Pelodiscus sinensis: one gene and its partners. The protein of the gene in region 2 interacts with the protein of the main gene of each other region in a biochemical or structural test. Links are inferred from orthologs where the notes say so. Each region holds a gene or a part of one and is shown on either strand. Other genes may lie near its edges. The genes, in order: CYLD, IKBKG, RIPK1 and NFKBIA.

Region 1 (7,260 bases), on a different chromosome or scaffold from region 2:
TGCCTTCCCATGTTGCCCAGCTGAATCAGGCTACATTCTGCCCTCAGCACCCCCATTCATTATGGGCCCCCCAGTCTCTTGGGCCTACTTGGGCTTCAGCCCTGTGGCTACCCCTGCAAGGCTGAAGCTGTGCCACCAATCCTCCTGCGGCCAGGTAGGCTTGCGGTGGGAACCATCTATGTTCCAAGGTCAGGGGAGCTGCTTGCCCTCTTGGGCTCAGAGGCCACCTGCCTGTCCTATGCTCTGGGGAAGGCTTGGGCCATGGGTTTTGTCCGCCCTCCCTCCCTGTGCTGATGGGAGAAGGCTGGGGCCACCTGCCTCCTGCTGGGGGAGTGGCTTGCAGGACTTCAGGTGGAAGAGATAGGACTGCGGGTTTGTCTCTCCATGATTTAAAGGAAAACAATTATTTAAATCACCAGTTAGTAACAGTCTAGTATGTATAAAAGTATGAATCGTGCATTTTTAGCAGTTGCTAAATCTGGATTTTAATACATGCATGTATATGTTAATCTTATTTTATAATACTACTTTGCACTTTCCTAAGAATCTGACTCATTTTTAAACTGGGTATTAAAGATTAGAGGCAACTGAATGTTCACATGTTCAGTGTTCACACAAAGATATATGTAAGTAACTTTATCACAAAGTCTTCACTACTGAGTATTCCCTGATGCATTATTTAAATTAATTATCCTATGAGTTCTGAGTGACTGCCAACGCTATAGTAGGGGAAAAGTTAAATTGCATATTTGTATTAAATAGGTTTATAATAGCCTTATTGTAATGACTGAATGACCGGCACTGATTTCTAAAGGAAACATTAATGGTTAATTGAAAACATGCACTTAGCTAGTCTTAACATGGAGAAATTTTGACTGGAAAACCTTTTGGTATAAAGCTCTGAAAATTCTGCACAAGAATTTTCTTTTGAAAAGTACTGTATGTCTTTGAAGTAGCAAATGTGCTAACTGATGCAGGAGTTCTTGTAATTTACTTACCAGCAGAAAATATTGCCAGTATCATATGGACTTATTTAGTTAATATACACGTTCCACATAATGTATTGACCACACATATGCTGTGTAATTAAAGAGTTATCGTGCCAAAATACTTTGTCAGGGCCCAATGCAAAGCACACCAAATTCAATGGAGGTGTCTTTCCAATGATTTCATTGATCTTTGGTTAAGGCCTTTAAATCGCAATTTATGCTGACTGCAGGTAATCCAACATATAATATTGATTCAACTTTTCACAAAGATAATGAATGATTTAACAATACATCTGTAGTTTTTTCCTACTACTTACAACTGATGTAGCAACAGACATTTTCTGCTTTGCAATATATTGCCTAGTTAATTAAGGAAGGAAATTTAGTTAAACTGTTTTTCTATCAACATGTATTAAGTGAACATTTTTCATCAAAATGTGTACTAGCCCCTATTTGAATAAATGCAGTCTCTCTACTCTGTGAATATGCAAATGAGGCAAATGAATGTTTGATGCACCAGCATGCATGCGTATCAGGAAATACGTTTAGATTTGCATGTACCCTTTCTTTTATGTGGAACTGGATGCTTTCACATAGGAAGGTGTGTGGTAATCAAACTGGGTATTTGCACATCTAACAGTGAGTGCTTGTCTGCATATGGGGGTATATCTGCACTGCACAGAAGTGTATGACATGTCTAAGGTGTGGGACGACAGGCTTTGGGCATGTTGAGTAAACGCAGATCTGAGGGAGACTGAATATGGGCTATTCCATATCTAATGGATCATATATGGACAGATATGTCAGATCATGATACATCAAAAGGGAGTGTATGTACTTGTATAGCACAGGTCACTGCAGGTTACCTGTACTGCTATGTCTCACTGCATGTCTAAGGGAGTGGCAATGGTAAATATTAGGGATGTAAGCGACTAGTCGAGTAGTTGACTATCCTTATCGGGTAGTCGAGTGACTGCTTGCTTTCCCCCACTCCTTGCTGCATCTGTATTAGATGCAGCAAGGGGCGGGGAAACAGGAGCCGGTGGTGGGGGAAGACAGCTTGAAAGCTGGCTGCCCCTCAGCACCATCTACATGGTGCATGGGAGCCAGGGGTAGCAGAGCAACTATTCAGTCCCAGCTCCCACCACCCAGAGAACTAACCCTGCTGCAGCTCTGCACTTTGCTGGGCTCTTACTACATTTAAAATGCAGAGCTGCAGCATCCTAGAGGGCAGTGTGAGCTGGGACTGTTCAGTCCAGGCTTGCACCGCCCACAGGAGCTACCTTGGGGTAACTCACCATAGGGTTAGCTCCTGGGAGTGGTGACTCTGCACTGCACAGAAGTAGGCTCTTACTACCATTAAAGTTCAGAGCTGGAGTGGGACCACTCCCCCTGTTATCGGCTATGGGTACGTCTAGACTGCATGCCTCCTGTGACAGAGGCATGTAGTCTAGACATACCCTAATTGAGTAGTTGATGGAAATTCCATAGGCTACTTGATTAGTCAAGTATCAGAGGGGTAGCCATGTTAGTCTGAATCTGCAAAAGCGGCGAGGATTCCTGTGGGACCTTATAGACTAACTGAAGTGTTGGAGCATAAGCTTTCATGGTCAAAGACCCACTTTGTCAGATGCACGTACTGCATGCATCTGACGAAGTGGGTCTTTGCCCACGAAAGCTTATGCTCCAACACTTGCTAGTCCAGTGGTCCCCAACCTTTAGAGGCTGCCAGGTGCCAGGGGGCGTGGCCGTTCGCCTGCCGGGTGCCAGAGGGAGGGGAAACATGCATGCCGGCCCCCCCATAGCTGCGTGCTCCCGGGGCTGGCGCTCCTCCTAAGCGCCGTGCGCCACAGGCCGGCACCCCCTCCAAATGCTGCACGCCCGGGGCCGGCGCCCCCCCCTGCAAGCGCTGCGCGCCCGGGGCCGGCGCCCCTCCCCTGCAAGCGCCGCGCGCCCGGCGCCCCCCCCCCCGCAAGCGCCGCATGCCCGAGGTGCGAGCAGCCAATTCGCGGCGCTCCCGGGGTTGGCGCTTACCATGCGCCCGGGCCAGCTCCGGCACTGTGCATGCACCATGTGCCCGGGGCCAGGCCAGCCCTGAGCACTTGGTGGGCGCACACAAATGGCACCGTGTTGGGGACCATGGAGTTAGTCTATAAGGTGCCACAGGACTCCTCTCCGCTTTTGATTAGTCAATTAACTAATATTTAACATCTCTAATAAATATGGAGCAATTTTATCACAGATCTTGCAATATTTCATATTTCTCTTTAATCCTCAGGTTCCTGTGATTTAGTAAAAATCTCTGCTTTCATTAAGTAAGTGCAGAAACTAGAAATTAAAAAAGCTTCAAAATATGTTGCATTTAAAAAAAATTCGAGATCAAAACAGCCTCCCTCTCCCTTACCCCACCTTCCGCACTAAATTTGATTTGTCAGTTTAATAACATGTTCACTTTTTTCATTGTAGTCCTTTGGTATATATATGGCTATGCCAGTTCTCTTCCAGAATATGATCTGAGGAAGTGGGTCTGGCCCACAAAAACTCATCATCTATTAAACCATCTTTTTAGTTTTTGAAGTGCTACGTAGTTTTTCCTTTTGTTTTAGCAAGATCAGACTAACAGGGCTACCTCTCTATGACTATGAGACAGTTAAAGTGCTTAGTCTGTGTAATAATTTACAATGAACCAATGTCCCCAGCTGCAGCACTAGCAAAATGGCTTGGATGTAATTATGTAATTAACGGTGAGTTTCCATTAGCGACTGGTGGCCTGACTCTGTATGGCCCTTCTTATGCGCTCCAGCCACTGCTGACTCTGCTCCCTTAGCCGGCTCCTGACCGCCGCCTTCGCTCCCCGCTGCTGTCAGCCGGTTACTGAAGGATCCAGCCAATCAAGTTGCCTTACCCCACACCTGGTTAAATTCTACCAATCGCTAGACTCGGATGATTTCACCAATCAAACCCAAGCATTCCTCCGCTCCTCCTCTCTCCCCTCCCACCTCGTCTCGGTAGCCAATCTTCATCGCGGGCCTAAAGGGCTTGGCCAATCAATCCTAGCTGATCGATTCCTCCCTCACGTCTGTCCCCGCCTTCATCTGCGGCTCTGGCAAGCCTGATGGAGTGGAAATCCCCTCGTAGCGGCAGGGTTGCTGAACATGTGTGTGTTTGCCCAATAGGAGGGAGAGTGGCCGGCTCGGGGCCTTGTGGTTGGTTCCGGCAGAAGGCTGAGGGCGGTGCTATGGGTCTAGCAGGGTAGGTTTTACGGGCCGGGCCGGCTCTGAGGGGGTGGGTTACGCGGGTTGCCTCGCTCTTGAGGAGTCCCGTGAGGGTGTCAGGTGGCTGGGAAAGTCCCCGCGCCAGCGGCTCCGGGGCTGTCGGGAGGGGCGGCCTGGGCGGTAGCAGCGAGGTGGCTCGCGGGGCGGAGGATGAGGTGAGTGATGGGCCCGGAGCGGTCGCTCTGCGCTTCGGGGCTGCCTCCCGCTGCCCTCTCCCCCCGCCCCCCTCCTCTGAGGCGGCAGCAGCGGCAGGGTGGGGGGTGGCTGCTGACACCTAACGGTGCCGCTATGGGCGGCGGCAGCGGCCTTTTTCCAGGCTCAGGCTCGGGAGCTGCTTTGCCGGCGGGTTATAAACGCTCCCCCCCCCCCCCGGCCGGTGGGAGCGCAGCCGGCGAGCCTGTCCCGGGCGAGCTTGTCCGACCGCCTGGTCCTTGTAACAAGGGGGGGGGGGGGGGGCAGCGTTAGCTTGCCCGCGGCTCCACGCGAACTTGTGGCGGAGCCGGACCCGCTTTCCTTGCGCTGTCTCCCTGCTCCCCACGTTGCTTCGCTTGCAAATCCCTTTAAATCTCTGCACGTGCGGCGGTAAAAGCCCCCCCTCCCCGCCCGTGGGACAGCGCTCGGAGGGCTGCCGGTAGATGAGGGCAGGGTACGTGCCGAGCGCTGTCGGTGTCCCCGTTTCCCTCCCGGGTGTGTAAGGCAGCCCCTCTGTGCTTAGACTGCGCTGGCCCAAAGGCTTAGACACTGGCTACAGAGCAGCAAGGTGAGATTTGGCTTCTTTTCGTTATGATTATTTTAAATAAACCCAACGGCTGCATCTGGACTGGCAAGTTTTTCTGGAAAAGCGGCCGCTTTTGTGCAAAACCTTGCCAGCTGTCTACACTGGCCGCTTGATTTTGCGCAAAAGCACTGACCTTCTACTGTTTGAAATCAGTGCTTCTTGCGCAAATGCTTTGACATTCCTGGGCAAAAGCCCTTTTCTGGAAATGTTTTTGTGCAAGAGGGCCAGTGTAGACAGCTAAAAACTGTTTTGCGCAAAAACGCCCCGATGGTGATCGGGGCTTTCTTGTGCAAAACCGCGTCTAGATTGGCATGGACGCTTTTCCGCAAAAAGTGCTTTTGCGGAAAAGTGTCCGTGCCAATCTAGACGCTCTTTTCCGCAAATGCTTTTAACGGGAAAAACTTTTCCGTTAAAAGCATTTGCGGAAAATCATGCCAACCAACATGTATCTTGGAGGTAGGCTATCTCCGTTAGGCCCTGATCCTACAGTTGGCTCTGGTAACTCCTGCAGAACGTTATTTGAAGTCAGTTGGGTAAGAGGCTCACACTCTCAGATCTGTTTGTAGGATTAGGATTTAGCACTATAATGATCTGTGCTTTTTCTCAGTTGCCCACTGAAATAAGTGCTGTGTAGAAGGGCACTGATTTTGGTCAGTTCGGCTCACAGGTTTACTGTAATGATCCTGGCCACCATTCCTCTATTATATATACAAAATTGAGAGAGTCTGTCTGAGTGGGTTCAAGTCATCCTAAATGTAAAAGCTAGGACCAGCAAATATGGTATGCAGATGCTGCTTCTTATCATAATTTCAAAGCAAGGTAAGGGTTTGGTTGTGCCAGAACAATGGGATTTGCCTGAAATACTATGGGTTCTCATAAAACACAAAGGGACAAGTCTGCTATAGGCTCAGTTATGCTGCGGAATGACCACAGGAGGGCAGGTCCACTGATAAGAGAGTGGCTGGCCGAGGGCAGGATTCTTGATGTTGCTGGCCACGATAGACAGATAAGGTTCCTGTGCTGGTGAGCTGGCCAACCTCCTGCACCCTTGCTTCCCCTTTCCTGAGTCCCTTCTTATCTTCCAACTCTGACTCCTGCACCTCCATACCCCCTGCCTCTAGTACCCCCAACTCTGAGTCCTGAACCCTCGGCCCCCTGTCCTGAGCCCCTCCTTAATGACCCAAGCAACACTGGGTAAATGTGCTAGTGCTATCTAGTTAAAAGTTTAAACAGTATTTTCATGTGTACAAATGTTTAAGAAAAAAGGGTAGGTTAATCGAAAATGAAAATCGGTGTTTAAAAAAAGTAAGCATTTAAAAGAGGAAATGTTTAAGTATATTTTATGCTACTCAGGAAACAAACTTTAACAAGAATAAAGAAATATATTAAGTCATAATCAAGAACATTAAAACTGTTTTCGTCTTTTATTTCAAAACATGAACTCTGTGCACAGCCCTGCTGAATTGGAGATAAATGCCACACTGATACACAAATGTCATCCCCAAATCAAGTCCATGTACCTAATATATCAAACAACTATAGTGTAGTGTTTTCTCTTTTAAACACATTTTTATCTAAACATTCTTTTTGAAAACTGAAAAATATGTATTTCATATTTTACAGTATTAAAGTTAAGTAGCAAAATCCAAACAGTAAAAATAAATTTTAAAATGTATAATTTATTGGTCTGTTTTTAAGATTTCTCTTAGCAATGCTAAGCATTCTTTTAAAAGGCATATTTTTATTTCATTCAGCATTGCAAATGTGCAGCTATTGACTTCTTTGGACGCTACTTTGTCTAATCAACGGATATAGCTTCTTGCGCTTAAACGTATTTTTCAGGCTGTTTGACTGTCATGGTGGTTCTGTACATGGAGTTATTAAAAACATGGTATTTGAAGTGAGGAATCTACAAGAGACAATCTGAATCAGGTTCATCCAGTTTTCCCCACTTGTTCTGTAGTTTGAGACAGGGCAATAATTTGAGTATGTTCATGGTGATAGGAGATACAAATCACATTTCTTAGCCCAAGTAATGCTAAAGCAGAAACAAAATTCTCAAATTTCAGAACAAATTTTTTATTCAAGTGAGATGATTCTCTGTAACAGTATATGTGAGTGACTCCAGGGAAGAAAGGGGTGGGGAGATATAGGAAAACTTCTAACTGGACCGGTTCGTGGGTGAAACTGCACATTTGAGCCACAATAAGTCCCACTT
Region 2 (7,856 bases):
CTTAGGGATTTGCTGAGTCACAGAGGCTCAGCTCCCACAGCAAGGCGGGTCCTAGTGCAAGAAGCAGGCCAAGGGATACCCCAGGGATACCGCCACCCCCTCACAGCAAGGGCTCAAACCAGCGAGCTCAAACCAGCCCAGGGATACGACACACACTACAGGGATGTGCCAGCCCCACGCTGCATGGTAAGGGGGGGGAACTGCCCAACAAGCCCATACCAGCCTGGGGACACACCACACAGTCTGCTGCAGGCCAGGGAATGGCTGAGCAGGGAAAATGAGCCATGCCCACAGATACAGGGACATTTGTGTTTGCCACTCCCTGGCCCAAAGGGATACGCCATCTTCTCCTCAGCTCTTTGCCCTGCCTCCCACAGCCAGGTCCAGGCCACTGGCCTTCTGCCTAAGCCCAGGAAGCTCCTTATCTATCACAAACGCTGATAAGCGGCTTTCTCCTTCCTCCCTCCCTCTGCTGGGGGAGGGGGAGCAGGTGCCAGGCATCCAGCCTGTGCTGTCCCTGACAGGCCTGCAGAGAGACCGCAGCAGCTCCCATCACAGCTCACAGGGCCCAGTGCCTACCCAGGATTCTCTGCCTCAGCTCTGCCAACTTGAGGTGAACCCAAGTCACGTGGAGCTGGGACAACCCCTATATTTAAACAGGGAGCTGGCTTCTGGGGTCAGTCGCCCTGTGTGACCTGAGCCTAGCCACTGAATCGCTGTGCCTCAGTTTCCCCACTCTCCTGCTCTGTTGCAGGCAGGGTTGGGGGAGTGCCTGGGGTGTCTGGCCCTGCCAGGAGATGTGTGGGGGACTGCTAGGAGCAAGGAACACCAACTGCCTGGGGCTGTGCTCCAGAGAGCCGGGGACTCTAAGAAGGCTCTAGGGGACTTAGTGGCATCCTAGACCTGGGATGGGGCCAAAGAGGCTTGTGGGGTGTATCACCAGGGCAGCCAGGAGCAGAACAGGGAGGGAGCTGTGCCACCCAACCAAACATCATGAGAGATGGGGAATTGCACCCAACTTGGGTAGCTGCCTTTCATAAAGGCTGGGAGAAAAGTGGAAAGGATGGAGAGGAGAAAGGAGCCAGAAAAGTTACTCCCAGGCTGGAGGAAAATGCACAGAAAGCCTCAGAAGGCTGCATCAGACCAGCATGTCAAGGGGAGATGGGTTCCTGTGCTGTGGAGAAAGGTGGAGAGAGTGGGAACCAAAGCCCCAGAAATTGAGACCAGCAGTAATGCACCTGTGGGGCGTGCAGACAGCGGCAGCAACTCAAGCAAAATCAGGGCTTCTCCGCCTCTTGCTGCCTACTCTGCTGGCCGCCTGCCTGGGGAACCCGGGGCCAAGTGGGGGAGTCTTTGGCCTGAGACACAAGCACATTGAAGTAGATGTCTCAGGGTGGGTGAGCGAAGCTAGCAAAGGTGTGTTTGTGTGTATTACTCTCCTCAGCTACAGGGAGCTAGGGTGAGCAGGGGGCTTCCACATGCCACCCCCACCACAAGGACACTGCCCAGCCACCCCCAGCATGGGAGTGGCTCCAGCAGCCGTGGTCTCCTCTGACCACCCCCACGTTGCTTATCTTGTGGTTCCCCATGGGCACAGCTGCTCAGCAGTGCCCAGCACTTCCCTTTGTCCAAATGCAACAGATCCCACAACGGGAGGGACATGTTGCGACCCCTCAGAGCAGGCAGGCAACCGGAAGCAGGGTAGAAAAGGGTTATGCTGAAGTTCTGGGGAGGGAACTGAGGCAGTTTCTGTGAGTTTGAGGGGCACCGGGGTGGTTTCCAGGGCCTAAGGGATGACTATGGTGAGAGGCAGTTTGGGAGGCTTCTGGGGTGTCAGGGCAAATTCAGAGTAGTGGGTGGATTTGGGAGCAACAAGACGGTGTCAATCACACACCTCTGCTTGCTGAAATCTCACTACTGCTCACGGAATATAAACGAAGGGTTGGCCAAGCCAGGGCTTGACCTCACTCCATCCCATGGCAAGCACCAGCACCATCCCAGGCCTTGGGTGGCCCCATGACAGGGCACATAGCTCAACCCATCAGGGATTAGTGGCCCCCCGCCCCCACTGGAGGCAAGTGCTGCCCGCCCAGGTTACACAACACCAGGCAGGAAGTTAAGTCACTCTGCCCAGTCATGGTAGCTGGGATGGCTCGGCTGCAGCTCCCAGTGCTCAGTATCGCCCCTGGTACAACTCCTGCCTCGCCCTGGAGGCATGAGCCGCAGAGCCCACGGGAGGCAGGAGCTCAGGGGAATCTGGCAGCTGAGCAGAGCTGTGGGGAAGATTAGTTTAGCCATCCCCTCACCAAGTGCAGGGTCCTGCAGGGAACTCCCTGTTCCCCCACAGCATTGCCTGTCCACAAAGCAGGGTGCAAGAGGAACGGCCCAGCTCAGGCACCCCACATGGGGCATGGCCTGGCTGACTGGGGACTCACCGAGGCCCCGAGGATGATGAAGATGTGGGTGTCAGACCGCAAGAAGTCCTGGTCCTGGCACAGCTCTTCCCGCATCATCCCGCACACCTGTGAGCGACTCAGCTCCTGTGGAAAGGCCATGGTGCTGGCACGGCTGCTCCCTAGAGCAGAGAGACCATGTGAACCGCCTGCCTCAGAGGGCTGACCCAGGCTGGGCTCCCTCCCCAGCCCCAGGCAGCCAGGGACAAGTCTCTGCTTGGCCAACAGCAGGGCAGAGCCCCATGGTGGGGGAAGGGAAATGGGATTGTGGGGGAAGAGTGGCCCTGAGCGAGGATGGGGGAAAATGGGGCGGCAGCAGGTGGGGGTGAAGAGAAGCCCCGGGTGGGACCAGGGGGTTGGAGGTTTGTCACTTCTGGGTCCCATGAGGCCCTGAGCAGTCTGGCTTTTTCCCCCCAGGGGCCCCTCCCCCAGGACAGCCCCCCAATGCCCCCAGCACAGCCCCCCGGGGTCCCCCAACCGCCCAGCACAGCCCCCCAACACCATGCCCCCTACCCGAGCCCGGCCCCCCAACACCATGCCCCCTACCCGAGCCCGGCCCCCCAGTGCCCCCCGGCTCCCCGGCACAGCCCCCCAACACCATGCCCCCTACCCGAGCCCGGCCCCCCAGCTCAGCCCCCCAACACCATGTCCCCTACCCGAGCCCGGTCCCCCAGCTCAGCCCCCCAACACCGTGCCCCCTACCCGAGCCCGGCCCCCCAGTGCCCCCCGGCACAGCCCCCCAACACCGTGCCCCCTACCCGAGCCCGGCCCCCTAGTGCCCCCCGGCACAGCCCCCCAACACCATGCCCCCTACTCGAGCCCGGCCCCCCAGTGCCCCCCGGTTCAGACCCCCAGTGCCCCCCGGCTCAGACCCCCAACACCATGCCCCCTACCCGAGCACGGCCCCCCAGTTCCCCCCGGCACAGCCCCCCAACACCATGCCCCCTACCCGAGCCCGGCCCCCCAGTGCCCCCCGGCACAGCCCCCCAACACCGTGCCCCCTTCCCGAGCCCGGCCCCCCAGTTCCCCCCGGCACAGCCCCCCAACACCGTGCCCCCTACCCGAGCCCGGCCCCCCAGTGCCCCCCGGCACAGCCCCCCAACACCGTGCCCCCTACCCGAGCCCAGCCCCCCAGTGCCCCCCGGCACAGCCCCCCAACACCGTGCCCCCAACCCGAGCCCGGCCCCCCAGTGCCCCCCGGCTCAGCCCCCCAACACCGTGCCCCCTACCCGAGCCCAGCCCCCCAGTGCCCCCCGGCACAGCCCCCCAACACCGTGCCCCCAACCCGAGCCCGGCCCCCCAGTGCCCCCCGGCTCAGCCCCCCAACACCGTGCCCCCTACCCGAGCCCGGCCCCCCAGTGCCCCCCGGCTCAGCCCCCCAACACCGTGCCCCCTACCCGAGCCCGGCCCCCCAGTGCCCCCCGGCTCAGCCCCCCAACACCGTGCCCCCTACCCGAGCCCAGCCCCCCAGTGCCCCCCGGCTCAGCCCCCCAACACCGTGCCCCCTACCCGAGCCCGGCCCCCCAGTGCCCCCCGGCTCAGCCCCCCAACACCGTGCCCCCTACCCGAGCCCAGCCCCCCAGTGCCCCCCGGCACAGCCCCCCAACACCGTGCCCCCTACCCGAGCCCGGCCCCCCAGTACCCCCCGGCTCAGCCCCCCAACACCGTGCCCCCTACCCGAGGCCGGCCCCCCAGTGCCCCCCGGCTCAGCCCCCCAACACCATGCCCCCTACCCGAGCCCGGCCCCCCAGTGCCCCCCGGCTCAGCCCCCCAACACCATGCCCCCTACCCGAGCCCGGCCCCCCAGCTCAGCCCCCCAACACCATGCCCCCTACCCGAGCCCGGCCCTCACCGCTCCGCGCTCCCCCACCGCTCCCCACGTCTGGATCGCGCTCCGCCGGCGGCCCAACGCTCGCCCGGCTCCCCATCCCCGCCCCGCCCCTGCCAATCCCCGCCCGGCTCCCCATCCCCGCCCCGCCCCGCCCCTGCCAATCCCCGCCCGGCTCCCCATCCCCGCCCCGCCCCTGCCAATCCCCGCCCGGCTCCCCATCCCCGCCCCGCCCCTGCCAATCCCCGCCCGGCTCCCCATCCCCGCCCCGCCCCTGCCAATCCCCGCCCCTCCCCGCCCCTGCCAATCCCCGCCGGCTCCCCATCCCCGCCCCTCCCCGCCCCTGCCAATCCCCGCCGGCTCCCCATCCCCGCCCCTCCCCTGCCAATCCCCGCCGGCTCCCCATCCCCGCCCCTCCCCTGCCAATCCCCGCCGGCTCCCTATCCCCGCCCGGCTCCCCATCCCTGCCCAGGCCAATCCCCGCCCGGCTCCCTATCCCCGCCCCTGCCAATCCCCGCCCGGCTCCCCATCCCTGCCCAGGCCAATCCCCGCCATTCTAGGCTACGAACGTCTCTTCCGCTTCCGGGTCCCGGGGAAGCACTTCCGGGGGAGACAAGGCCGCGATCCCGGAAAAGGGAAGTGGCAGCCGGGGGCGACGAGTATCCGAACCGCGATCCAGGCGTCCGAGTTCTCCTGTCGCCGAGGTTGGGGATTTCCGGCCCCGCCCCCGCCCCCGCCCGCCAGGCGTAGGGCTCAGCCGGTGGGAGCACCGGCACCAGGATCAGCCAGGACAGCCCAGGCCAGGGCCCCGCCCCCTCCCAACCCCCGAACCCACGCAGCAGCCTGGTCCTAGCTCCTCCTCCGGCCTTTGCCCTGCTTTCCAGGCTAAAGGTGCCATGCCCTCCCCGTGCCGGCTCGGGGTACGAAGGATCACAGCCAGTGTGTACATGAGGGAGGTTGTCACCCTGAAATCCCCATCCAGGGATTGGTGCAGAGCCCAGGGAAACTGAGGCACACACACACAGGGTTACCACAGGATGGTAGAACTCACGTGCACTCTTACAAGGGGAATACAATCCTCTGCTTTGTCACTTTTCTGTTCCCTTCAAGACCAAACTGAGTAGGGTCACTTTAGCTGGTGAAGTTCAGATGCACCAGTTCGTGACAGGGCATCAGTCCCCCCCCTTCCCCAGCCCAGGGACCCTCCGTTTCCCAGGTCTCATAGTGCCATGTCTCTTCACAGGCTAGACTGGATGAACGGGACCCGGCAACGGCGGAGTTGTGAGATGGTGCAGCCAGGCGGGTGCCCAGGCAGTGACTGCAGTGCTCTTGGTGAGGACTCATCCCTTGGCAAGGTGGCGGCTTGGCAACTACCCCCTGAGCTGGCCGGGCATGAGGCCCTGCAGCGCTTCCTGCTGGAAAACCAGGATCTGAAAGGTGAGGATGAATGAGTACCCTGGACTGGTACAGCACTGAAAGGGGTGGCTGGGGCCCAGTTCCCTGCAACCTGGACCTGGGCTGCAGCATGTTGCTTGGCTGACCAAGCCATACTGCCCAGTCGTGGGTCCAGTGGGGCTCGGGCAGCCTCCCAGGAAGCACCTCCAGGCAGTCAGGAGGCTCCATATGCTGCGCCCACCCCAAGCGTCAACCCTGCAGCTCCTTTTGGCCAGGATCCTCAGTCAGTGGGGGCTGTGGGTGCAGCGCAAACCTCCTGCCAGCACCTCAGCATAGGAGCCACAGGAGGGACTTGCCACTGCTTCTGGGAGCTGCTTGTAAATCTTTACCCTGAGCCCCACTCCACCCCAGCCCTGATTCCCCTCCTGCTCTCTGAACCCCTGGGTCCCAGCCCCAGAGCCTGTGCTCTCTCCCACACCCCAACCCCCTGCATCAGCCTAGAGCCACCTCCCACATTCCAACCCTAAATGGCCCCTTCAAGGATTGAACTCACAACGGTGGGTTTAGCAGGCCAATGCTCAAACCACTGAGTTATCCGTCCCCCCTGTTCCCTGTGGAGGGGGAGTGCTGTGCTACAGCTGTTATCTGCACCCTGTGTGTTTGTGTGTATGGGGGTGGGTGTGCTGCAGTTGCTCCCTGTGTGTGTGTGTGTGTGTGTGTGTGTGTGTATAGGGAGGGGTGGGGTGCTACAGTTGCTCTCTGTGTTTGTATGGGGTGAGGCGCTGCTGTTGCTCCGTGTGTGTGTGTGTGTGTGTGTGTGTGTGTGGATGGGGAGAGGTGGGGTGCTACAGTTGCTCTCTGTGTTTGTATGGGGTGAGGCGCTGCTGTTGCTCCCTGTGTGCGCATTGGGGGGGGAGTGGGGCAGCTCCTCTGTGTGTGTATGGGGGGAGTGGGTGCTGGAGCTGTGCTGTGTGTAGGGAGGTGGGGCACTGTGGTTGCTCCCTGTGTGTGTATGAGGGTGGGTGCTGGAACTGCTTCCTGTGTTTTTATGGCGGGGAGTGGGCGCTGGAGCTAGTGTGTGTGTGTGTGTGTGTGTGTGTGTGTGTGTGGGTGGTGGGAAGTGGGCACTGGAACTGCTGTGTGTGTGGGGGGGGGAGCGGGGGCTGTGGCTGCTCCGTGTGTGTGGGGGGGGGAAGGAGCGGGGGCTGTGGCTGCTCCGTGTGTGTGGGGGGGGGGAGGAGCAGGGGCTGTGGCTGCTCCCTGTGTGTGTGTGTGTATGGGAAAGTAGGTGCTGCTCCCTGCTGGTCATGCTCGGGGGGGGGGGGGGGGCAGGGGGAGGCAGCTGACAGGTTCAGAGTCCGGTCTATGACCTAGCCTGCACCTCTTTCTTGGGAAGTTGCCTTTTGCCTGGGACTGGGCCCAAGCACCATTGCAGGGGAGGCCTCTGGCCTCCGAGGCTGGGCCTGCAGGTGCCAGTCACCACAGTCCCTCTTCATGGCTCCCTGCAGGGAATCCAGCCCAGCGAGACTCGTGTGGGAGGCTTGGCCCCTTGAGTGGGCGCTGTGGGCCAGGGTATTTGCAATGCCATCCAGGAGTCTTGTCAAAAAGACCCCATTTCGGGAAAGATATGGCGACATTGGAGATGGTGCAGAGCAGCAGCCGGGATCCAGCCTGTTGAGGGAAGGCTGACCCTGGGCTTGTTTACTTTGTAGAGGAGATAGAGGGGACATGACAGGCTGTTGCAAGGAGGAGGGGAGAATTGGCCTCTGCGTCTGGGACAAGAACCAATGTGCTTAAACTGCAGATCGGCAGGGTTAGGTTGGACATGAGGGAAAACGGTCAGAGTGGCACTGTAATCAATTGCCCAGAGACGTTGTGGAGCATGTCAGACAAATGCCTGCAAGGATGGTCTAGAACAGGGATGGGCAAATTTTAGGCTGCATCCTGCCCCTTTGACCTTTTCCTCTGGCTTTCAAGGGCTTGCCCTGCTGTGGGTCTCCACACACCTCCCCACCACAAGCTCCAGCTCCTATTGGCTGTGGGTCCTGTGCCCTGGGAGCTGTGGGGGCAGAGCTGGAGGAGGAATGGGCTGCTGCTTTCAGGAGCCGTTTCAGATTAGCCCTGCCCAGATCTTTCTCTGCCCCATACCAAACTTACTCCTTGCTCCCAGAGGGAGGCGG
Region 3 (7,674 bases), on a different chromosome or scaffold from region 2:
ACTGAGCCAAGTTGCTAGCCAGCCTGCTAAAAATTTACTGGCAAAGAGGGGGAGGTGAAATGCGTGTAGTCTATAGCATTAACCTATAAACTTTTGCTTATTGGTTGATCGACTACATTATTACATCCTTAGGACAGATGTAGACAAATTGAAAAATGTGCAAAGAGCAACAACAAGTATTAAAAGTCAAGAAAACGTGGCCTATGAGGGCAGATTGAAATAAATGTGTTTGTTTAGTCAGGAAAAGACTGAGAGGAGACATACGTTTTCAAGTACAGTACCTAAAAGTTACAAGGAAGAGGGAGAAAAATTATTCTTCTTAACCTCTAATGATAGGACAAGAAGCAAGGGGCTTGAATTGCAGGAAGGGAGATTTAGGCGAGATGTTAGGGAAAAGTTTCTGGCGCTAGGAAAAAATGTAAACCCTAGGGATGTAAGAATTTAACCAGTTAAACTCCCAGCCAATTGATTACACAATTAGTGGGTTTGATTTTTTTTTAATTTTTACATCCCAATTAAGCACTGGAATAAATTGCCTAGGGAGGGTGTGGAATCTCCATCATTGGAGACTTTTAAGAGCAGGTCAGATAAACACCTGTCAGATGGTGCTTGGAGATGCCATAAATTCAAGAGACTTGACTTGATGACCTCTTGAGGTCCCTTCCAGTCCTATGATTATGTGACCATGGGTGCAGTTTTTATGGGGGGGTCACCCCTCCCCCAACAGAGGTGGCACAAAGGGTTACCTGCCACTGCCACCCTATTTCTGCAAATGGGGAGCTAGGACCCAGCTGAAGGAGACAGCATCTGGCCTCTGCTGAGTGTCTGCAGCAAAACACCATATTTTGGGTCCTAGTACCACACATGCTCCCCTTCTCTGTGTCAAGAGCTTTCCTGTTTCTGTGCAACAGGGAGTGCCCATGGAGGGGCTGGGTTTGGAAGCGTGGAAGAAATGAGAAAAGGCGGGATTAGACAGGGTGGGAAGAGGCAGTGGGTAAGGAAGGGGGTAGAATAGGGCAGGGGGAGGGAAATGTGGGAACAAAGGGCAGAAGATGAATAAGTAAAGGGAATAGGGAATTATGGGGGGAAGTACGAGCCTGGTATGCAGTGTCCCCCTCAGCAGCTGTTGTCCTCCTCCCATTAAGCAGGCACATTGAACCTTCATCCTGTCACACCCTTACCACAAGAAGTAATGTTGCGTAACTAAGATTATTTTCTCATTAGCCTTGTTCCTTGTTTTACCATTCAGAAGTTGTCCCCCTCTCACAGTCTGAACTCTACTGAACTCCCCCCTCCCCCCCCCCCACGCCCTCAGATGACACCTACAAAGTCCTCAGAGAGACTCTGACTGGTGCTATGGTCAGTTTTCTATTAGGATGAAGTTGGGATGTAAAATCCCATTTAATAGGTTAAACAATGAAAGGGGGAGGAGGGAGGCTCCACAGCACTGTCACTGCGTTCTGCCCCTGTCCTTCAGGAGAGTAACCATCTTTTTAGGCTTTGGATGTCACTACATCATTAGCACCTTGCACCCATTTCGATGAACGCGGGCCCCCTCTTTTTTTTTATTATCAAAACTGAGGTGGGTGTGCACATAACAAGTACCACAAGAGTGGAGGGCAGGAGGTGAAAATTCTCACTACTCCCCCTTTGGGCATGGGAACGGGGTATGGAAATCCCCCCCCCCCTGCTCTCCCGACCCCTGAGGATGAGCAGCAGTGGGGGCTCCCCACCTCGGGCTGCGGGTGGGACAGTGGGAGGAGAGGAGATAAAAGCCCCTCTCCCGCCTTGTGGAGCCACAGGGATCGTCCCGCAAGGAAGCAGAGGAGGAGGCAGCCCAATGGAGGAAATCCACGCGTCACTGCCCGCTGTAAGGACAGGTAGCAAAGGTAGCAAGTCCTGAGCAGTAGCACCGCATTTCATGTATGCATGACAGAAACCGCAACGATCGCAACAACGGAGAGTTTCAGAGTTGCACTTTCTGTCGTCGCCCCGGCAACTCCCAAATCGCATTGCACCGTCACTAGCGCAGAACGCCCCTGCCCTGTCCCGGGACATGGGGACTCACCACGCGCACACGCCTTTCCCTGCACAGCAGCCCAGGGCGGAGCCCTTCCCGGGCCAGGTAACTGTCTTAAAGAGACCGGGTCCTCGCCTACAACCCCGCTTCCCACGGATCGCATCCAGCCCGGGAAAGTCCGGTGTTAAAGCGTGAGACACAGCGCGCAGGAGGGGAGCGGCGGGGTGTGTGTGTGTGTGTGTGTGTGTGGGGGGGGTGTTCTACCTTAGTCCTTCAGCTGGGAGTTGCTGGGTCGGTGTGTTAAAGCCCGCAGCACACCACACCAAAGAAAGCGCATGAATCAAGGGCTCAGGATACAACAGTGTCTGACACATACAGGAGCCCGCTGTGTGTTTGCAAGAGCGAAAGTTTATGTGACCATTAGGAAAGCTAGTTACCGTATGCTAGGGGGGCAGAAATGCACCGGGAACTGGAGCAGGAAGAGGAAACACGGAAGGCTCGTTCCACCATTAGAATTTGCTAAGAGATTGCAAAAAATCCGGCCTTTACAACATGGTGCTGAAACTGAAACTAACTCTCACCCTCCGGCAATAATAAGGGAAGTTTTAGTGGAAAACGACAATCGAAGAGTCCTACGTTCCCCCTTCTCTCCAACGTCAGGTCCCCAAAAGGCCTTGATCTTAATATAATGAAATATTGCACAGCGTGTCTATTCAAACGCGAAGGAAAAATAAAAGGACCCGAGTTCCAGGCAGGCCTACGTGCAGCTCCTGTGAACTTTTTTAAAAGAAAACTAAAGCAAACAAGCGGAAACATCGCTAGTCTCTTCTTAAAGGCGCAAAGAATGGAAGTGCCCTTACCTGTCACTTCACAAAGCTCCGGCCCCGGCCCCAGGAAGCTCCAGCCACTATAGTCTGGCTTCAGTTCTTTTACTAACTCTAAAGTTGGGTTGGTTCTTCTCTCGGGCCCGCCTCCACCTTGCTGTGGGAGGAGTCATGAAAAACTAGCTCCTGTACAAACTCATGGAAAGCAGTACTACTTTTAGCTTCAAAGCTAGCTTCACAAGTTTGGCCCTGGTTTACAAACTGAGTAGCCACATTGAAGTCAGTGTGTGACGCTGTATGGAATTTGGGGGACAGGAGGATATTATGAAATCTGTAGAACAGTGTTTCCCAATTTTATTTGGCCACGGAACCCTTTTAAACGCCAAAGAATTTAGCGGAACCCTTAATAACAGCAACTTGTTTGACAGCTGAAGTTTCGATTTTGTCCAACGCAGCGCTAGTATATTCGTATTCAGTCACCCACGTGATCCATGCTCCCTGAGAGTGAGTACGGGGATTTACGGTGGTATATAACAGGCGAGTGCACCACTGACTGGCAGCACAGCGCTGAGTAGTGATATCATCGTCCCCACTCTCCGGCTAAGCTGGCATTATACAGAGACACTTATCATGGCAAACACAAATGAAAATTGTTTTAAATGAAATTCATAAATGCTTAAATATATATTTTTTTAAAAAAAAATCATAAAATGTTATTGTAATGGAATTGTCTTGCGGAACCCTTGTTTTCACTTCGCGGAACCCCAGGGTTCTGTGGAGCACCATTTGGAAATACTGCTGTAGAATGATAATCAAATATGCCACCCATGCCATGTAAAGTATCTGCAAAATTGTTACAATCTACCAAAGCTGATAATCTCAGTTATATGTTTGTATCACCTATGTTTTTTGGGTTATAGATATGTGTGTGTCTGTATTACAAACTTGTGCTAATCTGCTGGGGGATGCTCATAGGTGGGTATGCACTGCTTAGCCTGCTTGATTTCCCACCAAAGAACACCAGCTATTCAACTGACCCATTGAGAGAAGGCAGGAGATACACCTGATGCCTCAGCAAGGCATGTCAGGGCATGTCTATGGACAGAACTCTAAAGGGTATGTCTACACTACCAAGTTGTGTCAACAAAACTGATGTCGATAGCCAAAGGTAGACAAAACAAAAATCTCCAGAGGGTGTTCACACTTGCTCTCATGTCTGCACTGGGGGCACCATCATTGACAGTATGAGCAGTGCAGTGTGGGTACAAAACATATCCCACAGTTGTGTGAAGGCAGAGCTGATTCCTGTGCATTTTGGGATTCCCCCTAAGTTCTCCCGCAGCCTCTTCAGCTGCCAAAGAACAACATCATGAGCAGCTTTTTGAGCTCTCCAAGCTAAGGAACGTCAAAGCAGCACAGCAGCCTGTCCCCCCTCACACCTGCAGTAGTAGTCTGTCTACCATTATTAACTGTGGTTCATAACCTAACCTTTAAATTAGCTTCCGTACCTAATGACTGGACTATAGCTAATGTGACACCAGTATTTAAAAAGGGCTCTAGAGGTGATCCTGGCAATTACAGATTGGTAATTCTAATGTCTATACCGTGCAAATAAATTGAAACTATAGTAAAGAATAAAATTGTCAAACACATAGATGAACATAATTTGTTGGGGGAAATGTCAACATGGTTTCTGTAAAGAGAAATAATGTCTTACTAATCTACTAGAGTACTCTGAGGGGGTCAACAGAAATGTGGACAAGGGGGATCCAATGACTATAGTTTACTTAGATTTCCAGAAAGCTTTTGATAAGGTCCCTCACCAAAGGTTCTTAAATACAGGTGGCCCCCGATTTGCAATGCGCTTGGTTCCCGGAGAAGCGTAGCAAGTCAGGGGCATCGTAACTTGAACCCTCATTTATGATAGGCACCGTGCGCCATCATAAATGTGGGACGAGGACGTAAGTTGGGGGTTTTCGACCCCTTCCTCACTTACAAAAATGGTTGTAAGTGTGGGAGACCGTAACTCAGGCAGTTGGAAGTCGGGGGTTTCCTGTAAAGTTAGTTGTCATGGGAGAAGAGAGACAGTCCTCTCATGGATTGATAACTGGTTAAAAGACAAGAAACAAAGAGTAGGAATAAATGGTAAGTTTTCCTAATGGAGAGAGGTAACTAGTGATGTTCCCCCAAGGGTCTGTATGGGGACCAATCCCATTCAATCTATTTATAAATGATCTGGAGAAAGGGGTAAACAGTGTGGTGGCAAAATTTGCAAACAATACTAAACTGCTCAAAATAGTTAAGACCAGAGCAGACTGTGAAGAGCTTCAAAAAGATCTCCCCAAACTAAGTTATAGGGTAACAAAATGGCAAATTAAATTTAATGTTGATAAGTGTAAAGTAATGCACATTGGAAAAAATAATCACAACTATACATACAATATGATGGGGACTAATTTAGCTATCACTACTCAAGAGATATCTTGGAATCATTGTGGCTAGTTCTCTAAAAACATCCACTCAATATGCAGCGGCAGTCAAGAAAGGAAACAGAATGTTAGGAATAGTTTAAAAAGGAATAGAGAAGAAGACCGAGAAGATTTTATTGCCTCTGTTTAAATCCATGATACGCCCACATCTTGAATACTGTGTACAGATGTGGTCGTCTCATCTCAAAAAAGATATATTGGCATTGAAAAAGGTTCAGAAAAGGACAACAAAAGAAAAAAGAGGTTTGGAGTGGGTACTATATGAAGAGAGATTAAAAAAGACTGGGACTTTTCAGCTTAGAAAAGAGGAGACTAAGGGGAGATATGATAGAGGTGTATAAAATCGTGATTGATGCGGAAGAAGTTAATAGGGAAAAATTATTTACTTGTTCCCATAATATAAGAACTAGAGGTCACCAAATGAAATGAATAGGTATCAGGTTTAAAACAAACAAAAGGAAGTTCTTCTTCATGCAGTGAACAGTCAACCTGTGGAAATCTCTGCCAGAGGATGTTCTGAATCATAGAATCATAGGACTGGAAGGGACCTCGAGAGGTCATCGAGTCCAGCTCCCCGCCTTCAAGGCAGGACCAAGCTCTGTCTACACCATCCCTGACAGATGTCTATCTAACCTGTTCTTAAATATCTCCAGAGAGGGAGATTCCACCACCTACCTTGGCAATTTATTCCAATATTTGACCACCCTGACAGTTAGGAATTTTTTCCTAATGTCCAATCTAAACCTCCCTTGCTGCACTTTAAGCCCATTACTCCTTGTCCTGTTCTCAGAAACCAAGAGGAACAAATTTTCTCCTTCCTCCTTGTGACACCCTTTTAGATATTTGAAAACCGCTATCATGTCCCCCTTAATCTTCTTTTTTCCAAACTAAACAAGCCCAGTTCATGAAGCCTGGCTTCGTAGGTCATGTTCTCTAGACCTTTAATCATTCTTGTCACTCTTCTCTGTACCCTTTCCAATTTCTCCACATCTTTCTTGAAATGTGGCGCCCAGAACTGGACACAGTACTCCAGCTGAGGCCTAACTAGTGTAGAGTAGAGCGGCAGAATGACTTCACGAGCTTTGCTTACAACACACCTGTTGATACAACCTAGAATCATATTTGCTTTTTTTGCAGCAGCATCACACTGTTGACTCATATTCAACTTGTGGTCCACTATGACCCCTAGATCCCTTTCCGCCATGCTCCTTCCTAGACAGTTGCTTCCCATCTTGTATGTATGGAACTGATTGTTCCTTCCTAAGTGGAGCACTTTGCATTTCTCTTTATTAAACTCTATCCTGTTTACCTCTGACCATTTCTCTAACTTGCTAAGGTCATTTTGAATTATGTCCCTATCCTCCAAAGAAGTTGCAACCCCACCCAGTTTGGTATCATATGCAAACTTAATAAGCGTACTCTCTATCCCAATATCTACATCATTGATGAAGATATTGAACAGTACGGGTCCCAAAACAGACCCTTGCGGAACTCCACTTGTTATCACTTTCCAGCAGAATTTAGCACCGTTAACAACAACTCTCTGACTACGGTTATCCAGCCAATTATGCACCCACCTTATCGTGGCCCTATCTAAGTTATATTTGCCTAGTTTATCAATAAGAATATCATGCGAGACCGTATCAAATGCCTTACTAAAGTCTAGGTATATGACATCCACCACTTCTCCCTTATCCACAAGGCTCGTTATCCTATCAAAGAAAGCTATCAGATTAGTTTGGCATGACTTGTTCTTCACAAACCCATGCTGGCTATTCCCTATCACTTTATTACCTTCCAAGTGTTTGCATATGATTTCCTTAATTACCTGCTCCATTATCTTCCCTGGGACAGACATTAAACTGACCGGTCTGTAGTTTCCTGGGTTGTTCTTATTCCCCTTTTTATAGATGGGCACAATATTTGCCCTTTTCCAGTCTTCTGGAATCTCCCCCGTCTTCCATGATTTTTCAAAGATCATAGCTAAAGGCTCAGATACCTCCTCTATCAGCTCTTTGAGTATTCTAGGTTGCATTTCATCAGGCCCTGGTGACTTGCAGGCATCTAACTTTTCTAAGTGATTTTTAACTTGTTCTTTGTGTATCCTATCTTCTAAACTTACCCTCTCTCTGCTTGTATTCACTATGTTAGGCACACCTCCAGACTTCTCGGTGAAGACCGAAACAAAGAAGTCATTGAGCATCTCCGCCATTTCCAAGTTTCCTGTTACTGCTTCTCCCTCCTCACTAAGCAGTGGGCCTACCCTGTCCTTGGTCTTCCTCTTGCTTCTAATGTATTTATAAAAGGTCTTCTTGTTTCCCTTTATGCCTGTAGCTAGTTT
Region 4 (6,867 bases), on a different chromosome or scaffold from region 2:
CAAATGGCCGCTTGCGCCACTTGCTCCCCCGCAGCAGCCCAGCTAAGCGGCGCAGAAGTCAACCAAGTGCCATGGTGGGAGGTGAAGGGGGAGCGGGGCAGGGACGTGCAGTGTGACAGCGGTTCCAGGCCCTGCCCTCTGGCCGTGAACGTCACCACCCCACCCCCTTTCGCCTCCCGCTGTGGTGCTCAGCTGACTTCTGCACTGCTCAGCCAGGCCACCGCATGGGAGCAAGCAGCGCAAGCGACTGTTTGGGCTCCGCACACCCCATGCAGCATGGGGAGCAAGTAGCCCAAACGGCCATTTGGGCTTTGCGGTCCACCGAGTGAGAGGCGGGAGGGGGAGAAGAAGTGAAAGAGAGAGACAGAGAGAGAGGCAGGAGGAGGGGAGAGAGACAGAGAGAGAGGGAGACTGGAGGCTCAGGAGAGAAGATCGACGTGGAGGAGAGACCTGAAAATCCCGTCTTATGACGGGCTAATTGGCTAGTTATAAATATAGGTCCAACTGTATGTCGCTATCTGCCTGTGTCTTTTTTCATTTACTTTCACTGTAAATTCTTTGGGGCTGGGACTATCTTTATGTTCTATGTTTGTACACACCTAGCACAATGAGATCTGAGTCTGTGATGAAATGCTACAATAATAAATGAATAAATAATAATCATTGCAATTTCTTTCAGTATAAACAAATCTAACTTCAATAAATGTACAATATTGTGTGGACTCAGTCATACAATTCCCACTGAAGTCAAGGGGGAATCTTTTCACTGACTGTGCTGAGGGCTGGAATGGACCTATATGAACAGGCTATAAAATAATTTTCCAGTGTCTAGTTGTTTTAAAATTTTGCTATTCTTGAGGGTTGATTTTCTCCTTAAAAATGCTTTTTTTATAACCTTAGCTCCTAATGACTTTTGTCTGGGAGTTTTATCAAGACTGACCTGGCATCTGTGTCAGGATATAATATAAAAAGTGTGTAGGATATAAATGTTTACATATACATTTAATTTTTAATCATAAACTAGTAGCAAAATGTAACTGATGTTTCAACCATCTTGTCTGGTCCATATATCCTGTAGATGTACAAGTTAGAGCACTTCCTGCTCCTCAAGAAATAAGTTTCCCATATTTCAACTACCTGGGTAGCTTCCCATATAACTGCAAGACCATGGTGGATCCCTATCACTATATAATGTACTGCATATTCCTCTCTCCTCTGCCATAACAAACCTTATCTAGGTCTGAGCAATAATATGCCATAAAGGCCCAGTAGAGGTCACTGTAAACATACCCACCTTCACTTGGCAGACACTAGTCTTGAGGATTACTATCAAAACTAGAGGCAGTTTGGGTAACAGCAGTCAAACCACTGAGACAAATGAATCAAGTTATCAGAGAAGCTACTCTGTTTTGGGGAGATCAAAGCATCTGACTTCATATGATTTGTCTTTATGATTAAGTAATGTGATGCTGTGCTCCTAAGGTACTATAGTCTACAAAACCTAAACTGCTGCTTGCTGAAGAGTATGTTTTTCAGGGAATGAAATGGCCGTGAAAGCTTGGCACTTGCATTCCCATTGGTTAAGAAGTGGGTTGGCCCTGGTGTGACCTTCCATCCTTTTGCTGCAGTGCTACCCACATTTTTTTAACTTTGACTACACTAACAGAAACGTATAGCGAGTAAATCTAAACGCTGGTGCATTGTAAAAAGTCTTTCTGTTGGGAGAGTAATTTTTAAAAGTAACTCAGGTTATGTCCACACAGCAGCATTATTTTGGAATAACTGATGTTTTTCTGAAATAACACAGTGCACGTCTACACTACTAGCCTTTATTTCAAAATAATGTCGAGCTGGAGGACTTCTTACTCTGACTCATGGTAACCCTCATTTCATGAGAAGTAAGGGAAGTCAAAGGAAGAATGTTCCTCCTTTGATTTCCTGAGGTGTAGACAGCACCTCGAGTCAAGTTATGCTATTTCGACTTAAGCTATGCAATTGATGTAGCTGAAGTTGAATAGCTTGATTTGACTTTAGCTCTGCTGTGTAGACGTATCCTCAGTGTTTACTGCTGACAACTGCAAGCATTGAATGCATGGAAGGCATTGGAGAGCCCACCGATTTAAAGTTTAATTTCAATTTGGCCCCAATAAAGCATTTGTTGCAGAATTCTTATGATATTTTATTCCTCTGATTGCCACAGTATCAAGGGCAAGAACTGTATCCACCAATCAATCAAACAATAAATAAAATCTTTACTGTTCGTACAGCATAGGCTTCCAGTTAATGAGAAAGGTATGGATTAGTTAAATTACACTTCACTTAGAAAGAAAATGTTTTAACCAAAAAGGGGAAAATGCATGAAAATTTCATGACCCTGAAATTTTCAAAAAAATAATTGTGGAGCTTTTATGAATTCTTTCAAAGGGCACAACTGTGTTTTTCCAAGCAATGATTCCTATTTCTTTTTATAAGAAAGTCCAGAAATATTGCAGCTGGCCTGAAAAAAATTGGACCATCTGCCCTCTTTCTCCTTTGCCTCTGTCTTTGGATTTTCTCATAACTTTTTTTCTCTCAATGGCTACATTGCCAGAAGAGGAAGACAAGAAAATTTCTCAGACATTATTACTCAGTGTGGTTGCAGGAAAAAAATTCTTCATGGGAAATCCCCCAATGTCTGAGAAGAAAAAGTAAAATTCAGCAGGAATCCCAGTCCCCAGGTTAGCGTGCAGAATCCACAGGATGGCCTAGATGTATTTTTAATCAATCTAGGTGCTTTCAATATTTCACTTGATCTTTATCAGTGAATGTCATCATACCCAATAGGAATTATCAGAGAGGGATATCTAGATAATGGGTAACAATAAACAGCATGCCATTGGCAAAAAGAGAAACTTTTTCTGGTGAGAAGAAAAAATGTTAACTTAAATATGTAAATTTTGGGAAGGGGGAAAAAAGTGAATTAATCTTTGATAGGTACTGTCTCAGTTGGAGTGGGAAGGGAAACCTGCTGTATGTGCTTGATCCTACACAGGAGAAGTTAATGGGAGATTTACCATTGACTTCAATGGAAGCAGGAGAAAGCCCTATGCAGAGCAAGCTTTACTCTTAAAAGTAGTCGTTTTATGAGGCTACATTTATGGAAATTGGGGCTTCTGAATAGTTAAAAGGTTGTTAGTTCCAAACTCATCTGAGGTTTAAGATGTATTTAGTGTGGCTGCTATTGACTACCAATGCTAGTTCTTACATTTAAATAGTGCCTTGCACCACAGGGTATTACAAAATTAGCAAACTGACAGATGGGGGGCTGGTGTGAAATACAGCACAGCGGGACACTGTGGGAATACAGCATCCAGCTGCAACCCCAGGGGCTTTTAGAGAAGCAGCACAGGAGCTGTGATGTGGCCAAGACAACCCTGGTCTTTGCACAAAAAAGTGGCATCTTCATGACTCCAAGTGGTAGTAGGGGGGACACTGCTTGTGTGCCTCTCAGGCAGGCAGTGGCAGGAGTGACGGCATTGGCATCTCCCCTGTGGTGCCGTTTTAGCCTTGGAGAACCTGTGAGTACAGAGTCCCAGGGAGACCAGGGGAAGGGAAACCCCAGGATGGGAAAAAGCCAACTCCAGGGGCACGGCAGGGAAGTACCTGGGGAAGGGGGTTAGTCACAGAGCTGTACCAAGTACTTTCCCTCTTGTGAAAAAGGGGGTGGGGGAAAGCGAAGAGGGGCGGGTCAGTCATGGGGATTCCTTCGCTGCGAGTCTCGCCTGGGCTTTTATGTAACGCCTCCCGCAGCCAGGCGCAGGCTAGTTCTTGCTGTTTGACTGGCCTGGAAATTCCCAGCCAGCGGCTCCTCCCCCTCGCAGAAATCCCCTCAGCAGAGGGCGTATATCCAGCGCCACCGCGCGCCGCCGCTCTCACTCTGACGCCCGGAGCCGCTTGGTGAAAGATCCACAGGGGGGGACCTATTGCTGCGCCTGCCCGTCCTGTGCTAGCGGCGGCCCAGCCATGTTGCACCCCAGCTGCATTGCGGATGGCCAGCGGGAGCTGGCGATGGAGAGCCGCGAGCCACTGAAGAAGGAGCGGCAGCTCGGCTTGCTGCAGGACGACCGGCACGACAGCGGGCTGGACTCCATGAAGGAGGAGGAGTACGCGCTGCTGGTGAAGGAGCTGCGGGACATCCGGCTCCAGCCCCAGGAGGAGCGGGGGGCGCCGCACGCGCCGGCCCAGCCTTGGCAACAGCAAGTGACCGAAGAGGGAGACACGTAAGTGTGTGTCCTGCGCCGGCTGCACGGAGACCCCCGCGCGGGGCGCTGCGAGACCCGGGGGCCGCGGGCGGGCGCATTTGAAACGACGATTGCTTTTAGATAAGCGATAGTGGGTTCTACTCAGAACCTAGCTGAGCCCTGCTGGGGGGCGGGGGGGCGCTGCGGGCAGCGCCAGGCGCCGTAGGGCTGCGGAGTCCAGCGCTGGCCGCCCGCCAGCCGTGCCGGGAGGGGATGTACAGAGTGTGCTGGCGGGGCGGGGCGGGGCCGGCGCGGCGCCCGGCTGGGCGGAGGGGGAAGGTGCGGTGGAAAGTCCCTGGCGCGCCGCCAGGAACACAGCTCATAACAACCCCGCGGAAAACACCAGGCCGCGGCCTCTGAAAACCCCAGGCTTGCGAAAGCCGCCTGCAGCCTGTGCACGTGACTGCCGGGGCATTGCCCGGGGCTGGCCTGCTGATCCCGTGAGCTCACGTCCTCCCCTGGCTCATCGTTCCCGGACCGACTTTGAGGGGTTGTTTCTTTTTTCCCCCCTCTTGCAGATTTCTCCACTTGGCAATTATTCACGAAGAAAAGGCCTTGAGCGTGGAAGTCATTCGGCAGGCAGCTGGTGATCCTGCCTTCCTGAACTTTCAGAATAACCTGAACCAGGTATTTTAAGCCATCTGCCTTCTTGCTTAAACGAGCCAGGTTGCCTGACGCCCTTGGTGATTTCAGTAACTGTGTCATGCAAAATTGTACATTCGGTTGATATTTAATCAGCTGAGCCCCTCTCCCTCCAAGACACAAGATTGCCATTGTCCACAGATAAACTTCTGTTTGTGTACAATCAACATTTGAAACGACACTGGCATTTGAAACGATGGATTGCTTTTAGATAAGCTGTAGTGGGTTCTACTCATCCATTATTTCCATGAAAAATACACCCTTAATTTGTACTGGCCCTCTGCGGTCAAGGGAGCTTTAAATCAGTCACTTCCAAATTAAAAGAGAACTGAAGAAGTCGAGCTAGAGCTGCTAGAATCACCAAGTGGTTGAAGGGTTATATACTCAGTTGCTGTCTCTAACATTTCCTGTTTGTCATGTACCTTATACTAGTTTGTTTTCTTTTTTTATTATAGACACCACTTCACCTGGCAGTAATCACAGAGCAGGCTGAAATTGCTGAGTCTCTTCTCAAGGCCGGTTGTGATCCAGAAATCAGAGATTTCCGAGGAAACACACCACTTCATATTGCCTGTGACCAGGGGTCTCTCAGAGCTGTCAGCGTCCTTACTCAATACTGCCAGCAGCACCACCTATGTTCAGTCCTGCAGTCAGCTAACTACAATGGTATGCATGAAATTCTTAGCAGCTAGTGTTTTTGTGACATGAATTTCAGAGTTTTATGAAGATGGGAGGCTGAGGCCTAGCTGTAAAATGATTTCCCTGAAATCACACTGCAGTCAGTGCTGGAGCTCGGAATAAGTCTCAGCTCCCTTGACTGCAAGTGCTTAACTCTGGTTTTCACACTCTTCAACTTTACACTTTGATTTTTAGATAACACTGTTTAGATATTTTTTTAAAATTGTAGACATTTTACATGTTTCTGTTTCTACTTTGTTAAAACAAGTTCCGGTGTACCACTGGGTGGAAAAAAGGCACTGCGTTTAAAAAATAACGGTGCCTTAGACACAGTACAACGATGATTAGAGAAATTTAAAAGTTCATGTAGAACATTTTACATTCAGTTTAGATAATGGTGATTGTATTTCAAACTCAAAATATGATAGTGTGTTAGGGGTGTTAGAAAGTGACTAATAATGCATTAAAGTAGAAGTACTTAATTTGTACCTATGTTCTTGTTTTACAGGACACACGTGTCTCCATTTGGCATCTATTCAAGGGTATCTGGCTATAGTAGAATATTTGCTGTCCTTGGGAGCAGATGTCAATGCTCAGGTGTGTATTTGAAGCTCTTTGTTTATCCAAACATGATAATGCTGGAATAGGAATATCCAGTTTTTGTAGTGCCAAGCCTAACTATCCTGTTTTATTTTTACTTACCAGGAGCCTTGTAATGGCAGAACTGCCCTGCACTTAGCTGTAGATCTGCAGAATTCAGAACTGGTGTCACTTCTAGTAAAACATGGGGCTGATGTGAACAAAGTGACCTACCAGGGCTATTCTCCATACCAGCTGACATGGGGAAGAGAGAGCTGCAGGATACAGGAACAGCTAAAGCACTTAACCATGGCTGACCTACAAATGCTACCAGAAAGTGAGGATGAGGAGAGCTGTGAATCAGAATCAGAATTCATGGAGGATGAAGTAAGTAATTATTTTCACCCTTTTATAAGGAAGGACTAAATTTTGCCCTTATAAGCATCTATATGCTCCTATTAAAATTGTCAGAGAAATGTGCCCATAATTCTTAGGTGTTATTTCCTGATGTTTTGATGGCATATTGGATGGCCTGTTGACTGTATTAGATATATTTCATCTACACACTCAAAATAAACTAAAAATATAAATTAGTAAGCATTAGGAGTGCAATATAAGGTCTAAGCATTGGACACCTAAAGCCAGAGGTGAAAGTAAGCTGGTGTACCCCAGTGTACCACTTGCGCAA

Evidence for each region.
Region 1: the proteins of IKBKG (region 2) and CYLD form a complex in vitro, tested with the Homo sapiens proteins (3 studies listed by BioGRID, with this or other methods). The link is inferred for Pelodiscus sinensis from reciprocal best matches to the Homo sapiens genes IKBKG and CYLD.
Region 3: the proteins of IKBKG (region 2) and RIPK1 form a complex in vitro, tested with the Homo sapiens proteins (4 studies listed by BioGRID). The link is inferred for Pelodiscus sinensis from reciprocal best matches to the Homo sapiens genes IKBKG and RIPK1.
Region 4: of the proteins of IKBKG (region 2) and NFKBIA, one has a biochemical effect on the other in vitro, tested with the Homo sapiens proteins (15 studies listed by BioGRID and IntAct). The link is inferred for Pelodiscus sinensis from reciprocal best matches to the Homo sapiens genes IKBKG and NFKBIA.

The regions. Positions count from the first base shown.
Region 1 is NC_134722.1:31,411,934-31,419,193, forward strand, and holds the start of CYLD (ubiquitin carboxyl-terminal hydrolase CYLD), read left to right. Parts: upstream 1-4,259; 5' UTR 4,260-4,419; intron 4,420-4,703; exon of another isoform or gene 4,704-5,024; intron 5,025-7,260. UniProt on the Homo sapiens protein: Deubiquitinase that specifically cleaves 'Lys-63'- and linear 'Met-1'-linked polyubiquitin chains and is involved in NF-kappa-B activation and TNF-alpha-induced necroptosis.
Region 2 is NW_027465910.1:86,352-94,207, reverse strand, and holds the start of IKBKG (NF-kappa-B essential modulator), read left to right. Parts: upstream 1-4,854; 5' UTR 4,855-4,985; intron 4,986-5,009; exon of another isoform or gene 5,010-5,201; intron 5,202-5,524; 5' UTR 5,525-5,534; coding exon 5,535-5,718; intron 5,719-7,856. Other genes in the region: G6PD (glucose-6-phosphate 1-dehydrogenase), read right to left, coding at 2,436-2,575, 4,306-4,420. UniProt on the Homo sapiens protein: Regulatory subunit of the IKK core complex which phosphorylates inhibitors of NF-kappa-B thus leading to the dissociation of the inhibitor/NF-kappa-B complex and ultimately the degradation of the inhibitor.
Region 3 is NC_134712.1:115,469,397-115,477,070, forward strand, and holds the start of RIPK1 (receptor-interacting serine/threonine-protein kinase 1), read right to left. Parts: upstream 3,012-7,674; 5' UTR 2,881-3,011; intron 2,854-2,880; exon of another isoform or gene 2,285-2,853; intron 1-2,284. UniProt on the Homo sapiens protein: Serine-threonine kinase which is a key regulator of TNF-mediated apoptosis, necroptosis and inflammatory pathways.
Region 4 is NC_134714.1:48,030,364-48,037,230, forward strand, and holds the start of NFKBIA (NF-kappa-B inhibitor alpha), read left to right. Parts: upstream 1-3,860; 5' UTR 3,861-4,002; coding exon 4,003-4,259; intron 4,260-4,798; coding exon 4,799-4,907; intron 4,908-5,377; coding exon 5,378-5,588; intron 5,589-6,108; coding exon 6,109-6,197; intron 6,198-6,305; coding exon 6,306-6,566; intron 6,567-6,867. UniProt on the Homo sapiens protein: Inhibits the activity of dimeric NF-kappa-B/REL complexes by trapping REL (RELA/p65 and NFKB1/p50) dimers in the cytoplasm by masking their nuclear localization signals.